Linked DNA regions of Oreochromis niloticus. The protein of the gene in region 2 interacts with the protein of the main gene of each other region in a pairwise test. Links are inferred from orthologs where the notes say so. Each region holds a gene or a part of one and is shown on either strand. Other genes may lie near its edges.

The links.
Region 1: the proteins of zbtb10 (region 2) and mob3c interact in binary tests that used the Homo sapiens proteins (3 or more experiments, as listed by UniProt). The link is inferred for Oreochromis niloticus from reciprocal best matches to the Homo sapiens genes ZBTB10 and MOB3C.

Annotation. Positions count from the first base shown.
Region 1 is NC_031986.2:43,323,702-43,332,092, forward strand, and holds the start of mob3c (MOB kinase activator 3C), read right to left. Parts: upstream 3,102-8,391; 5' UTR 2,782-3,101; intron 2,492-2,781; exon of another isoform or gene 2,360-2,491; intron 1,166-2,359; 5' UTR 970-1,165; coding exon 552-969; intron 1-551. UniProt on the Homo sapiens protein: May regulate the activity of kinases.
Region 2 is NC_031985.2:20,709,507-20,717,416, reverse strand, and holds the start of zbtb10 (zinc finger and BTB domain-containing protein 10), read right to left. Parts: upstream 3,356-7,910; 5' UTR 3,075-3,355; coding exon 2,403-3,074; intron 1-2,402. UniProt on the Homo sapiens protein: May be involved in transcriptional regulation.

The sequences.
Region 1 (8,391 bases), on a different chromosome or scaffold from region 2:
ATCTAATTATTCGTATTTAATTTCTAAGCAAAGGTGCAGCGAAGACAGTATTGCTGTCTTATTCTCCCTCAGGTCCATGGGGGATTGTGATAACTGAGCAAAGGGAGGGACAGAAACACCCTGAAGGAGTTGTCAAGCACTAACAGACAACCAAAACCCATTCACACTCGTGGGAAATGTTGAGTTTTCATCATACCTGACTAGCATGTCTAGGCTTGATATAAGAAAAGAGAAGTCCCAGAATGTCAGTGCTAACCACTGCGCCACAGAGAGGCTCTGAGCTCACGCTGCTGTGACGCATGAAGTTCTCACCTCTAATTTAACACTATGATCACCTAGTCAACAATCCCCTCTAAATGTCAACATTTTATTGTCTAATTAACCTCTCCTTGAACTCAATCATTGCATTTGAGAGCTTAATGAAGGAGAGCACCTCTGCACTCTGTGCTGACACTTTAATATAAAATCTCTGCAGCCAACACTCAGTCATGTATTAGCTTACGCACTCAAGAGCAGTCCGATGGTTTCATTTGTAAACTCCTCACACACACCTACTCTTGTGGGGAAGATTTCCTCATTATTGATTAGTGACTCTATCCAGTCCATCAGCAGATTCATGTACTTGAGAGCAGGCAGCTTGGTGGGTCTCTTGTAGTCTTTACCATCCTGCCATCTGTACTCATACCTCAGTCCCCCAGACATGATAGGGCACGTGCGCTCGCTGCAGTACTCGCTCACTGTGCCATAGATTAGGTTAATTCTGTTAAAGAAATCCACCACGTGAACAGCAATCCAGTCATTGAGGTTCTCGCCTTCTGGGAGCTGAACTACTTTCCTCAGGTCCAAGCCAGATTTGAGCGAAGCCTGGGCCTTCTTGTACAGTTCAAACCGCTGCGTACCGGGCTCAAAGCGCTTCTTTGGCCTAAATGTTTTGTCTTTGCTAAACACTTGACCAAGACACAATGCCATTGACTCAGTTATTTCCCCTGAGATAAGGGGAGAATGCGCAACGGTGAAAAATAGTTAGGTTGGAGTATGAGAACGTGTAGCCTTCCTGGGAGAGGGGAACCGGTCGGATTTCAGCTCTTGGAATCAGGTCACAGGTGGTCAGCGACTGTCGTGTAAAGACTGCAAGGAGTTCTTGTTTTCATTTGGTGCGATGACACTGTGAAGATAATAACAGGCATGTTAAACCTTATGTGGTCATTTTGGGGTGAATAAAACATAAAAGGTAAAAAAATTCATGCAATATTCAATGACAACAATTGTTATAGCTACCATAAAGTAAAAACAAAAACAAAAAAACCCTACATTTTCCTAAAGAAGACCAGCTAAAATGTTTTTTTATAGTCACAGCTGCTCTTTGTGAACCAAATGACCTTAAAGCAAAGTTTTCAGTTGCAGCTATCAGTAAAAATAGCAACATTTTCAGTCTGCTGTACCAAAAGTCAGGCCACTTGAGTCAGGCGTAACTGGGAAAATGATTGGTATGTTGTGATCCACTAAAGATTAAACTGTGAGAGAAAATGTCCTGAGTGAAATAGTTTTAATGCTCTTAAAGGCAGAACTAGGACTTTAATTTTTCTTTTTTTTGTGGGGGGGTGGGGGGTGCACTAAATATAGATAGAAAACTGCCCATTCTTGTTTGACAAAGTGGATATGAAACTAAATTAAAAGTTTAGGGATATTTTTTGTGCAAAGCTATTGTCCATCTGCCTGGTGATTTGCTTGTATTGGGAGCATGACTTCACAGGTTTTAAATGTCATGGTAATGAAGCAGTAATGATTGCGTATTTTATTTGATATAATATTAACTTGGAGGATTTATTTTAAAGCAAGAAGATGGACGGTTACATTTTACAGTCTCAAATATATTTTTTAAACGCGTTAATGTGGCAAAACTGAATTGAATTGTACATTTCTATTCACCGTTTGAAGGATGTGGGAAGAATGTCCAGAGATCTGACACCTAGATTAAAGCAGCTGTGATTGCAACACATGATACTGCAGCCGCATTGTGTCCTGAGTCCCATTTTTAACTGCCGTATTCAGAATTTCCCACGGTTGTAACTGAGGCTCTGGTGACTTGAATTAGCAGATGTTTCTGTCACTTCATGCCAGTCTGTACTCCCATCACGTGATATTGATATGGGTGTTGTTATCTTTCTATTAACAAAATAACCTAAAAAATCACAACCCACAGGCCTCTCACATGTTTGTAAAGCTTTTGGAGGACTTGGGTCCCTCCTGTCTTAATCTGAGGAAAAGGCAATGGCTAGAAATAAAAACAGATGTGATCATATCCATTGGCTCTTTCCACTAGCTTTCATAGTTTGCCTGATCTCAGTTCAAAACTCACCACTGGGGGAACTTGAATACGTGGTCAGTAGATAGCTCTGAATATGTCCATAACAAACAAGAGTTAGACAGAGCTTCATTCACTCCTAAACTCTGAGAGACACTGGTTCAGTTAAAGCTTCATCTCGGAAATCTTTGGGATACGAAAACAGTTATGATTTATACAGAAAGTGACAGTATGAAGGAGGAAGTGACCGTTGACCAATTTCTGTCCCTACTTGCCTCAGCAGTCACACTGAAGCATGTTAGAGCATGTAATGTCGCATGCATGCTTCTTTTTCTTCTTTTTCTACCAATTTTCCATCAGACACTGCAATTTCTTGAAAGTCTTTCATTTCGTGGTGCAGCAGCAACAAGAAACAAATTGTCAGTGGGAAAGCAAAACAAGACATTACAGAATGGAAAAATCTCTGTGCACTGTACCTGGCCGAAATCCTGCAGCGGAGTGTTTGGAATGTGGTGGAGAGTTGTGGGAAGTTCAGGGAGGATTCGAGTGTCTGGATCCTTTGATTCTAAACTCCCTGTGAAAGCCTGCTTCAGTGACTCTGCCCCCTCTAGGTCCTCTGAATTTTCTCTCTGCTAGTTGCTAACGGTCTTAAGGGGCTCCAACTTCCCTCAGGAAAACAGACAACACACTAAAAGAGAAAAAAAAAGTATTTGCCTTCTCTTCCTGTAGGTGATGTCACTTCCTGACTTTGTCTAGTAGGTTCTGCTATCTATGTGTGTGTGTCAGTATGTGGGTGGGTGTGTGGAGGACCTATAAACTGAAAGAGAAGAAGGGCTGAAAAAGGCCTTCCCCAAACACCGACTCTGCCCTCCCTCTTTTTCATTTTTTTTCTTTCTTGTCATTCTGTAGGCAAAGCAGCCAACCCTCTTATCCAACCAAAGCCCAGCCCTCTGGTAAAGGTCCTGAGAAAACATCCCTTCTCTTGAGCTACTTATAGGACACAGGGAAAAGAATAATCCCACAAACATTTCTGGATGCCTGGCAGTCCACGACCATGATGCCTGGCTATTTTTTATGAAGTCTCAATAACATATTATTTAAATTCTTTGCCTTTTAAAGAAGTTGCTTTGGAATTCAGTGCGTTCCCTACATGGAAAAACTGCTCTTTGAAAGACACAATTTCTCTTTAAAGGACTAAAAAAGCTCTGCATTCAAATCATGAACAAACAAGCCACGTGTGACTTTAACAGTCTAATTCCTTGTGACCTTAGAAGGTTACCTTTTTTGTGATAGCTGCTCTGTTTGTCTTGGGGAAAAATGGTGATACTAAAGTGCACAGGCTGTCTACACCATGCAAAAAGAAGCCGTCTATACTTTTTGTGAAATCATTCCCTCCCAGCTGATAAAAATGTATATGTTTGTGTGTCTATACCTACATATTAATCCATATATATGTGAAAATATATTGATATGTCTATTTGACCATACAGTCAAAACTTTACGGTGGGTGGGGAGTGGGGGAAGGTAGATCTAAATTGCAGTACTCCAACATATCCACCTGAGGTCAGCATGACTGTAATGATGGCGTGTGGCTGTGGATAACGAGAGGCTAGTCAGAGCTATCAGTCAGTTATCAGCAAGGGAAATTCCCTATTTACTGATGAGCAGCTGATTATCTTTTTAAATAACTAAATCATGATTACATGTCAGTTGATAAAAAAAGAACTGACAGGTGAGATTGTTTTTGTTGTTGTTGTTGGTATTTTAATGCCATACATTTAACAATAAAATATAAAGTCACTAAAATAAAACATAAGTTTACTGTAACATACATAAAGAAAGTACATGTAGGTTGGCCTTGGTTCATTTTCTAGGTTTGAAGATTAACTATAAAATATTAAGCTGCTCCAATAACTGAATGCGGCTGTGTAATGGTTAGCATTGTTTCCAATATTGTGAAAAGAAATGTCCATGTATTAAAGAATCAGCAACTTTCTGGCACATTTGAATTATCAGTGTATGCTTATTACATTTACATTATTATAGTTTATTTATTCAGCTGATCATTGTGTGTCAAATGACCAAAAGCATTCGAACAACTCGTTTATCTGGGTTATTCAAAAAGTATATTCATCAATATAAATAAATAATAAAGCAGAATGTTAAAGAGAAATAATTCAAACTCTGAAATGTATTTCCTTCCCTTAAGTTGAAGTAGATTCCGATGTAATGATTGTTTACAATGTTATTCATATTTTTTCCGTGACATACACAGAAAAGAATGGATGAATCAAGCAGGTGTGCATTTATGATTATTCCTGGCCCTTTGCTCTAGTTTTCCATGTCAGAGTGACTGTCATCATCCAGATATGTGACAGATGAGGAAGTTGAACCAGTCGGGCATTTCCTCACCTACCTCATACCATCACTTAGTGTAATGCTCTGCTATTATTCTCTTAAAAACACACCACCTTGAGCACCATATACTTTTCCACTCCTTGAATGTAGCAGGTAGATTTTCTTTAAAAAAAAAAAAAAAAAAGAACAATTTTTTCACATTTAACCTTTAAAAAAATTAAAGCAAAAATAAATGCCTTAAATGTATAAAACACACGATTTTGTAGAGTTACAGTTTAGTACAGCTGTTGGTGTGATGTATCTTGAACTATTGCTAGATAAACCTACATGCTCTGAGTTTGTGGTTAATATTAATCCAGTTTTAACAGCAGTATTTGTACACAGTGTCATCTGGTTAATTGCTTTCATCATGGAATTTCACTCATGTTGGCATGAAGTACTCTGTTGTTCTGGAGCTCAAAAGCGAAAAGTATTGTTTCAAATTAAACTGTACATTCAAGCAGACGTCATACATTTACAATATTATTCTCAAACATGGTCAAACATGAATTTTCACTGTTTTGGATTACTAACCCGCAGGGTCGAGAAGACCTTTTCAAATCCTTCAGAACTGTATAAACTCTGTTTATGTTTATGTCTCTTATACTGTATTTCTATGTTTCCACCTGCTGACTGTTTTGTAATGGTGTCCCTTCTTGGCCACATTCACCTTGAAAAAGAGATTTTAATCTCAAGTGACTTTCCGATTAAATAAAGGATGAGTTAAAAAAAAAATTAAACAATCCTAAATTAACAAACATGCACACATAAATGTTATAGTTATGGTTTTGACCATAACATTAATTTTATTGTTGTTTATTTATAATATTTTTTTAAGCTTTGCTCAATTTCTTCACTCTTGGAATTCATTACATAATTTGCTTTATGATGTTTTATATGATGATGTAATGTTGGCTTGTATGGACCCCACTAAGAACAAAGGTCATCAGTTCGTGACTACAGCTCTAGGCAAGGTGTTGAGCCTACTACAGGTGATTTGCAGGTTATTCATTACACCACAAGTAGAGCACATGTCTGATATGTGGTGTCATGGCTTGGCTGGAAGCCTACAGATCTTCCACAATGGTCATTATAGTTAAATCTCACCACCAGGACTCTGCTGCCCAGGAGATTTGAATGCATCTACTGTTTTCACTTTGAAAGGCCAGGAGTGTGTGACTGCTTTGGGCAAATAGAACCAGCTCAACTAAAAAAAAAAAAAAAACAAATAAAAAAAATTAAAAATCGAAATGTGTTACATAAACTGACACGTCTGGCCTTAGGAATGCACCACGTGTGTTTATGTAAAACACGTTGCTTCTACTTGTTTGACAGACAAGCCGACTTTTATCGCTTCTGTCCATCATGTTTTGTTGAATAGGAACACCAGCGTGTTATGCCACATGTTATATCCTGCAGTACACTTGGAAAAAAGTAAACACTGTTAAAGCAATAAAAGGCACAGTCGGGTTGGTGAACTGTGTTTCAGGCCTACTATATATGTGTAATTATTACATACGCACGAACTGCTTTTGGTGTGATCATTTGGGTAGCATATTGTAATTTTAGTTTTTCTCTAAAGATATGGCAACTTACTCTACATACTTTTATTCACATATGAAAGGAACCACACTGAGTCATTTCTGTGTGTCAGTCGTTTTTTTTACAGTTGTAACCAGTAGTAGTTACAAAGAGCAAAAAATGAGCTCTAAACTGTACAGAATTTACATTACAAACTGTTACAATGAAACATCTGTGACTGACCGCGGAATGGAGACGAAATGACATTTGATACACTAAGATGATTACGTCCATATTAAGCGACCGACTCACGCCAGTGTAAAGATGACTCCACCTTTTTCCGCCTCCATCAAAGGGTTGGGTCAGGAGGAAGATTTAAGCCGAGAGGAAGAGGAAGCACAGCTAACTACAGCCACGCTTTGCGTCTTATCTCCAGCATTCATTCGACAGACTCCACAGGTTTACTTCAGTAAAAGTGAGTAGCTTTTGGACATTGTTGTCAAACTGTTTAACAGTGAGTTAAATGTTGACTTAGTGAGTTACTTTAAGGTGCTGCAGTTTTTTTTTTCTCCCTCAGGGAGGTGGGGGCGGGGGTGGGGGCTAGATGTCAATTTAAACAATGTCAAATTCAAGGCTTTCATTTGTTGTTTGTCTTTAAAGGCTCTTTCTTTTCTTACGCCTACAGTAAAGTTTAAAAAACTAGAATTTTAGTGTATATAATCTTTTTTCTTTTTTTAAGAAAAAACAAAAACCGTCAAAGTTAGGCGTTACCCCTAACCAGATATCCGGTGTTGACTGGACTAAATGTTTGAGCTGGTCATGGTATCGCCTGTGCACCTGTGCTCCGGACAAAGGGGAACACCCTTCCCCACAGTGGGAAACCTATTGTTGTTCTGCACTTTGAAGGGGTTTGCTGTCAATTGCCATTTTGTAGCTGTCGTGCATCTAAAGGGAGACAATAAAGACAGCATATTAATGTGCGCACTGCAAGCTCCAAATGTGTTTCCGCGAGAAGTGAAATGTAGTTTACCTGCTGGTCAAATGTCACAACGGTTTCTAACGGTTAACGCTAAGCCAGAGCGACGCAAAAGCGCACACTCAGCTTTCTCCAGCTCAGAAACATACTCGCCTTTAACTAATCTGTCAGGTGAAACTGGTTACAAAGTCAAGTTGTTGCATATATGAAGGGGCAAAACGACAACAACCAAAAACAACTTTCACACCACTAGCAAAATTTAGATTCTCCAAAAAAGCCAAAACACTAAATGATGTGTGATCTCTTATAGTGGCGAGGCGGAGAACTACATCAAACATCACATCTGTTATGTAACATGTGATTGAGAAAGAGTGTGGATGTATTTTTAAGTGGTGTAACTTATGGATGTTAACATTACACAATAATAAGTGCATTTAATGTATGGAAAGTCTGACTATATGAGAAAGGGATGCCATGCATTTGTCTTCGTCAAAGATATGTAATGGCATTGGTATGCATTTGATTGCCCACAGTCTCTGCAGCCTCTGCATTATTTGAATTGCCACAATTTTCCACTGTTTAGCTGGAGAGATTACACTGATGCAAGAGCTAGTTTAGTTAAACAATTTAAGCTTTGTACAGTTTTGATTAGTTCATGAAAGTGTTTAAATACCCCCCCCAAACCTATGTATGTCCCTGTGAAAGTAGCCTTTGATGGTTTCCAAATTGTGTGCCAAGATAGATTATGGGCTACTAACTGAAAGTTACGACAAATGTTTACAATGTCAACAAACAATTGTGTGACTTAGACAAAAGACCTCAAGGTCAACCAGCCCAGCCGTATCTCTGATGGCAATGTAAACACTACAGCAGTGATGTGGCTGTTAACAGTTCGGCATCACACTCTTATCACTTCACCTTCAAATGTCAACACCTTCTCCGATGGCCTTGGGTAGTTTAAAATATAATCTTCAATCAGTAGAAATGACACTGGGTATTTTTAAACAGTGTTTTTCTGACAATGCTTCTATCCAGCAGTGCTGAGTGTGTTGGTGGTGCAACCACACTTCACGTCTGTTTATCAGTGAGCGTGTAGTGGGGTGATGTGTCATTTTACTTCACCTCATGTTCAAACCTGTGTTCTCTTTTCTTTTCTTTTTTTTTTTTTTTTTTCTAAATGGGGAAGCAACCT
Region 2 (7,910 bases):
AACTTTCTCTATCACTCTGTAACATCTAGAGTGGGTTTAACACATGCTCAGCCGCCCTCCTTTAAATGCGTATTAAAAGAAGTGTATGGGCTGCCCATTTTTCACCATAAAAAATAAAACTTTTCTGAGAATTCAATTTAATTAAATTGGTCGTACATATGTGACTTCATATCTGATCTCAGAAAACCTCGTCTCCTTTTGCCTCCATTTACCCTTTTTTTTTCCTCTAGTGAGCACAGGGAACAATCTGAGCATAAGACAGCATCTAGAGAATTAAGGACAACGGCCCCCTTCTCCAAGGATACCCACATTTACCACAGCTGCCCTGGTGTGCTACAGATAATTGAATTAGCTTTAACAAATGCAGCAGAGGCCTGACTAACATCAGGAATGGGTGAATAGAACAAGACGTTGCCTCATAACACCGTAGTTCCCCTTTAATGTACTGCTTCATAATGCTGTCTTGCTTACACTGTTGCCTATTATTTCAGCAGTACTGTGTTTGCTGTTTTGTTTACTTTAAAAAGGCAGTCCAAGTTGAGGAAGCATAAAAACAAAAGATAAGTACTTCGGAAAAAAAGGAAAGAAGGCTTTAAGCTTTAATTCAATCTTTTCTAATAATACAGCATTGGGACGTTATCTACTCAGCTCTAACCATCTATCAGGAAATGGCCTGAAAAACCTCTCAAGACAGCGTCTGGGGTCCTTGTTGCTAGGGAAAAGCCTCACCAAGCCCCTAATCCACTCCTAGTGCTCTCCTTGCCAATTAGAGATGTGTACAAGTTAGTGGATCACTTTAAGTCATTCTGATTAGTGATTGCGTGTACAAAGGAAGGAACTAAATGTAGTAGTACAATCCTCTTCACTCACAAATCACAGACGAATAGCACCCCGCTCTTAATTCTCGTGACAGCTCAAACCATTCTCTGAATATGAGGTAGGATGTGGCAATTTAAAAAGGAACTGAGCTCTCTCCCCCCCCCATACTGTAGGACTAATGGGAAAAATGTCCTTTGACACCGAACTGTACAGACAAATCTGCCCTCCCTGTTTTTATGAGGTCACTAAAAGAGTATTGTAGAAGTGTTGCTTAAACCGCAATAAAAAATGATGAAGCAATAAAAACATCTCATGGACATCAATAAAGGGAGTTCACATGTAATAACGATGTGAGTGTTTTGAATTAAAAAAGGCATTCAAGAAACTGATATGGATACCCAATAACTTTATACCTACATCGAGCTTTAGCTAACTACACACTCTTTATGTGCCTATTAAATAAAGTGGAGTCATTTCCTGTAAGTATGACCCGTGGTTTCAGTCCTCTGCAAACAGGATAAGCCTTTAATCATAAGATATGCCCCAAAGTTATAGCCAGAGCCCAATAATCCAGAAATATGGATGACAGGCTCAGGTGATGCTGTGTCATCCTATCACTGACATCTATTTTCACTCTTTCAAACCTATTCAAACGCTGCCTCTGGGCAAGCAAGATGTCACGCTCAGGGCAACCTGATTTACTCTCCCCTCCTTGTCCAGCACTGCAAGTGACACCATCTATGGATTTTGGGGGGTCATTCTCGCACAATGCCTCTAATTTAGCTCCCTAAAGGGAGGCGGAGGTGGAGGAGGAAGAAATGCGCCAGAGGTCACCCGGGACAGAGAGGCAGCAGAGCTGCATGAGAGGCGGGGGGTTGGGTAAGGGGTGCGGTTCCCCGAAGGCTGCCAGGGTCGAGCCCTTGCCATTGTGCGACCTCTAGCAAGCTAGCGATCAAGACTGCTGCTGGTGAAAGGACTAGCTGCGGTGTACGGTGAACATCTCAAACTGCTCCACAACACCTGCACTGTCCGATATTTATCCATTCCTTTTCGTCAGTTATCAGTGATTAGCAGTTAATTGTGACACGCAATTAGTCCGGTCACTTGACAACAAACAGCCTCCGGGGCGATATTAGCTAGCAGGTGTCAAACTGGAGCAGGTCTTTAACTTGCCCGGTGAGTGGGCACACAACAGTAACTTGCATAGTACAATATATTTTGAAGTGATTCTGTTTTTCCACTCTGTCACCCCTTAGCTTCGCTACAGGGGCTTTCCAATACCGCAACTGGTCACCTACCTCCGGCTAAACAGTAAAGCCACGGGCGGCTGTGAAGCTAGGCTAGACATTAGCTGTGGTCGTTAGCGCACACCGATGCTAACTAATTAGCCGGGAGAAGGGATTGTGAAGCTTAGGTAAAAGCTCATTTTCCTCCCAGGCTGCGCTTTACAATTTGAAGTAACTTCTATTACGTGCGACAGAAAAGGGAAACAGGTAATGACATTAAGGTATGCCGACGGTGACAGGTATTTCACGTTACGTAGTTAACTAAACGAAAGCGTCGTGGAGTTGGGCTAACGTTACCTGTTTGGTGGGATCGTTTCTCCCGTGCTCAGAAGACAGGTGATGTCTCAGCAGCAAGGCCCTCTTGTAGTTGCGACTGCCTTTGACGAGCTCGTCGCTGTTTTTAGTGGCAATGTTGTGACACCAGGAGCAGGACATGAGTCCAGTCTCCTGGCAAAATTTGAGCCATGGAAATTCTTGCAACCACGAAGCGTGGAAAAGCGAGTGTTTCTGAAGCAGCGTCTGCGGTCTCATCTCTACCCCAGATTTCCTGGATCCCGTCTCGATCCCTCCCCTGGCAGTCTCCTGGCCGTCGGCGCTGTTGTTGTGACCGTTCCCCGCAACCCAGCTTTTCCCGTCCCCGGACCCGTCCTCCGCTTCCACCGAGTCGACACGATCGTCGCCGTCCCCAGCTGCCCGACTGCCCCCTTCCGGGTCCTCTTCTTCCTCCGCCTCGGGTTCCGTGCTATCGCTGACAGATCCAGCGCCCTCCACTCTCTTCTGCGACGGTCCTTTCGCCCCCAGATCCCTGTCCTCCTCTTGATCCGGCCTGTTCCCGTTAAAATGTCGATCTTGACAGGCCGGGGCCTCCCAGCTGTTACAGTTCCCCCCACCGATACCACTGGAACCCGTTAACCCAGCTAATCCACCTCCTCGGAAAGCCAGCGACCTGCGGTTTCTCTCACCGGACATTTTTTTTCTTAATATACGTTAGAATCTTCACTTTCTCAACAGTATCCCCCTCCTCCGATTAAAATGCTGTGTTTATAACCGATGTGTTTCCCGAAAGAGATGGACCGTCGTCGTTTCTGCGCTCCGCTCGGCCCTCCCGGTGAGAGTATGTAGGTTATGCGGAAATAAATAAAGGTTTTAAACGCATAATGAATTTCAGGGTTCTCGCTGCGTCCGCGCAGGCCCCGCAGAGGTCGAATGGCAACGACTTTCCTCCCCACAATGCACCTCGTCCAGAGGGGGGCGGGGGGGAGGGGACGTGTTGGTGGTAGTGGTGGTGGGGGTGGCTTTTTAAAGGAAGATGATGAGGGGGGTGTAGATCAGCATGGGGTCTTTTGTGCTTAAAAAAAAGCACCCATTTTCCGCATGCTTTTCATCTGATGTCTGTTTGTTTTATTAGACCGCAAATGTCAAATCACATTCCTCACGGCGGGGTGTCCCAACATTCATGAATGTCTGCAGTAGGAAACTTGTCGGGTGTCTTTTTTATATTATTCATTTATTTACTTTTTATTATAGTGAATATATGTATTATAAATAAAAAAATAAATAAAGGTTGGCATTTGAATATGAAGAAGTGGGGCCAATAAATATACATAAAAGCATGTTAACCGAGATATTTATTCCAAACACAATTGCTTACACTACAATAATATTAAGTCGATATTCGACATTCAACACCACAATATTACCCCTGAGCTTTATGTGGTGTGTGTAAGAATGGTGCCTTATATTTTGTATGTGCTCGAAGTATATTTGCATTTGTGGGGGGGTTTTCCCAGACCCCCTTTGTTGAGTTTGTTGGTGCATGTTGAACCCTAAAACAAAGGTTTTATTCATTAACTGAGATTTTGTATATATATTTTGAAACGCGTGTATCTGAAATAAAGTCACGTAATACGTTTGGACCCGAAGTGTCATTCTCTGGAGACTCCAGCCTTGTATTCTCCCTTATCTGCTCGTCTCCCGCTCCTTGTGATCAAAACGAGATCCAGTAGGTGGCACTCTTTCATCTGAGCGTCTTTTCTCACCCTCTGTGTGTCACATTGCTTGGTGTATAGTTTCATTGCTTCCCAATTAAGAGCTTTGCACACACAGCGTGTGAACAAGAGTGGGAATTAACCCGGGTTTGGATGACAATAACGTGGAGGATTGTATATCCCACAGGAGTGGGTAAATTCCCAAGAAGAAGACAAGGAATTTTTTGTATGGCTAGTGTGTGTGTTTATTCATCTAGCTCGTACAAGCTATCAGCTGGAAAATTAAAAAAATATAATGGAACTAAAAGGAAAAATAACTGAAATTCCTTCGATTCTGTCATACTAAAGTGCAGTATGTCATCTCGCATCAAATGAACAGCAGGCCTTGCAGGTGGCAGTCTCAGCAGAGTAATGACTGGCTGTATTTTTAAAATTAGAAATATCTTGAGTTGACTTGACTGTAAATGGAGGTTAGTTTGAGCTTAAGAAAGATATGTTCAAAACGATATTTAGCCGAATATATATATATGTGTGTGTATATATATATATATACATATATGTAACTCTAAAAAAGAAGAAAAACAAAAAGGAAATAGAAACTAATATTTAAGGCAGCCATGATAAAAAGTGATATTGATATCAATATAATTTCATTCTTCCTGTATATGCTGGAATTACATGAGGTGGAGCAGCAGTATTTTCCTCACTATTAGTATTAAAAATAAAATTATAATGATTTAAAAGCCTGATTTAACTGGCTTTTCTTTAAACTAATTTAGCTGTCGCCGCCTGTCACTGGCACCAGAAGCAACAGGTTTGCATGTGTCATAGTTTTCCTCGTATTTATCTGTAAGGCTGATCCGAAGGGCCAGCTCTGTTCTAGGATGCCCTCTGGACCCAGTGGAGGTGGTGAGTGACAGGAGAATGGCGGCTAAGCTGTCATCCCTGTTGGACAACATCTCCCACCCCATGCATGAGACTGTGACAGCACTGAGCAGCTCCTTCAGTGGGAGACTGCGGCACCCACGGTGTGGGACGGAGAGATTTCGCAGGTCTTTCCTCCCCACTGCTGTCAGACTCCACAATAAAGACTTTTGCAGCTGATCAAACACACACATCCACACATGTGCAATAAGACTAATGTGCAATAATCTTTTCTGGCATCGTTGTATTTTTACTCAGTTGTATATAGCATTTGTATTCTATTTTTATCTTATTGTATATTTTATTCTATTTTATTCTACTGTATATAGTATTTTATTTTATTCTATTCTGTACAGTTGTGTACTGTATTTATTCTTATTTTATTTTATTCTAATTTTTGCTTCATAACTTTTGCACTGTCCACTTCCTGCTGTGACAAAACAAATTTCCCACGTGTGGGACTAATAAAGGTTATCTTAAGAAAAATAAAACAACATATATATATACTACTACACTATTGCAGATACATATAAATTTTACATATACATATACATATTCTTGTTGTACAGTAAAAAAAAAAAAAAACCCCAAAAAACAGAAATACAAATAATGACGTGTCCTTGTTGCGCAGCTTTGCATTGTTGTTGGGCTAAAACTTGATCCACGTGCTTGCTTCTGTTTACACTGCTGCGTGCTGACGTCACGGCGAACCCCACCCCGCACGGCGGGCTGCCTGGCAACATGAGGCAGAGAACAGGAAGACCCACAGCAGGAAAGTGAACAACCTGCGGACCCTGAGTAGAAATCGACGAGAAACAACGCTTTGGACAGACAATGGAGGATGCAGACAAAGGTAATTAAATTATCGACGTGTGCCAGTGTTGTAATAGATGTTTTAAAACTACTTTTTCCTTAGAGAAAAGTTAGCGGACTAGCTAACTTTGTGCTGTGACTCGAGTTAGTTCGTTGAGAGCATATGCTACCTCTCGCTATACGAATAAAGTGAGTTATTTTTGCGAAGGACAACAGTGTGAAGAATTAGAAGAAAGAATTAGAAGAAAATAACTTTTTCAGCAGCACCAGTGCAAGAGATTTCTAGAAAAATGACACGGAAGTGCGGTGTCACACCACAATTTGTTTTTTTTCCCCAGCATGTAAACCACCCATTAACTTTTTAGGTGAAACCATAAACGCACATTTTCAGTTTTGGGGGGAGTTAAAAACTTTGACAGGCAGTGAAAAAAGGAGTAAAACATTAGTCAACAATATATTTTGTAACCGACGGCTTAGCCTGTAAGAATGGGTTACACCTGTTTGACAGCTCACTGCTATAACTAGTTTAGACAAGTCACGCTGTGCTCTTATGCTCTTTCAAATGTTTTTTTACACTGAAAAAAAAAAAAGAGTTTTATTTTGAAATTTACGAACTCCTATTCTGTGCCAAAGTGGTTGTGAGTTGTGGGTTTTACTGATTTTTCTCGTGCCAAACTACAGCACAGTTCAGTTAACCACAGGTATCCTGAGTGTCTTCTACCTGCATTTCTGTCTTTCACCTCGTTCCTCTTCCTGCACGTTTGCTTTCCTATCAAGCAGCTGTTCTGCTCTCTTATGTACTTAAACACAACTGCTCCTGTCTCAAGTCCATATGTCTCTGCTATAGTACAGAAAAGTGGAGATTTGCACACAAAAAAGCTTGTATGTCCAACTTTTTGTGATTTTACTTGTAAACAGCATGATCCATTCTTCTCTGATCTTTGTATTATTTTATTCTACTTCATTTGCACTAAAGTGCTTGTGGAAAGAAGCAAAGCATTTGAGTTTTATTTGTTCATTTAAAATGTCATGTTAGAATTTTTGACCAAATTTCCCTGAAGCACAAACAGCCTTCACCCTCCCCTGGGCTCTCAAAGGTAATTTCCTGATGGTTGAAAATTGTTTTGTGTTTTCTTCTTCTTCCCTTTTTAATAACGTAGAGAGAGAAAGCCAGAAGAAACGTTGCGTATGAACACCAGAATTATTGATGTAACTGGTTCCTGGTTGATAATTTGTGCTTCTCCATATCAGAAGAAATGAGGTTTGTTTCTCCATCACTTTCTGTGTTGCTGCCAGTGGACACGATAGAAAAGAATGCTTTACTTGGCTTTAAATGCCACGCTCGTGAAGCCCATTCCTGGGTTAGAGCTGCAGGTCCTGAACACATCCTTAAGTAAATGGTACCTTAGTGACTGTTTGATCTGGGTTCTCTTTGCTTGTAAAGGTTTCTTGTGGTATGCTTTGGAGGGTTTTCCCTTCCCACATGACATGTTTTTTCACTGTGTGCGTGCAGCGGATGCACCAGTAGATAACTTGTCTTTTAGTGGTTTTATAAGTTGTTGTATGTGACCTTAAAAAAACACAGTTTGAAAAAAGGCAAATGCCAGATTTCTTTTAAGGCCGAAACACACTTGCACTACAGGCTATTGTTCATCAAAATCACAGTAAAACGGGCCTGTAGCACAAGTAATCACAAGAAAGTGAAATTGCGTAGTTATCAGATAAAGGGGAACCTCTTTGCCAATCTCTAGCTTTACTGCAGCCTTGAGGTGGTGTCTGTTTACCTCTCTAGGCAGCAAAAGTAAATGATCTGCCTCTCTAGATGTAATTTTATCACCTTAAATATCATCATAGGAACTGCTGTGCTCTCTGAATTTATAGTCACACTGCTGTACAGGCAGCCAAGTTCATTTCAAGGTCAGACTTTTGGTATGGTAGCTGTATTTTACTATCATCTGTACCTGCATCCTCCTCGTGGAAGTTCAGGCCGCTCAGTGACAAGTATTTGCTTGCTCCAATACAATAAGCTCCCTTTACGTTATTTATTTATGTATTTATTTTATTTATTTTAAGGGAGCGT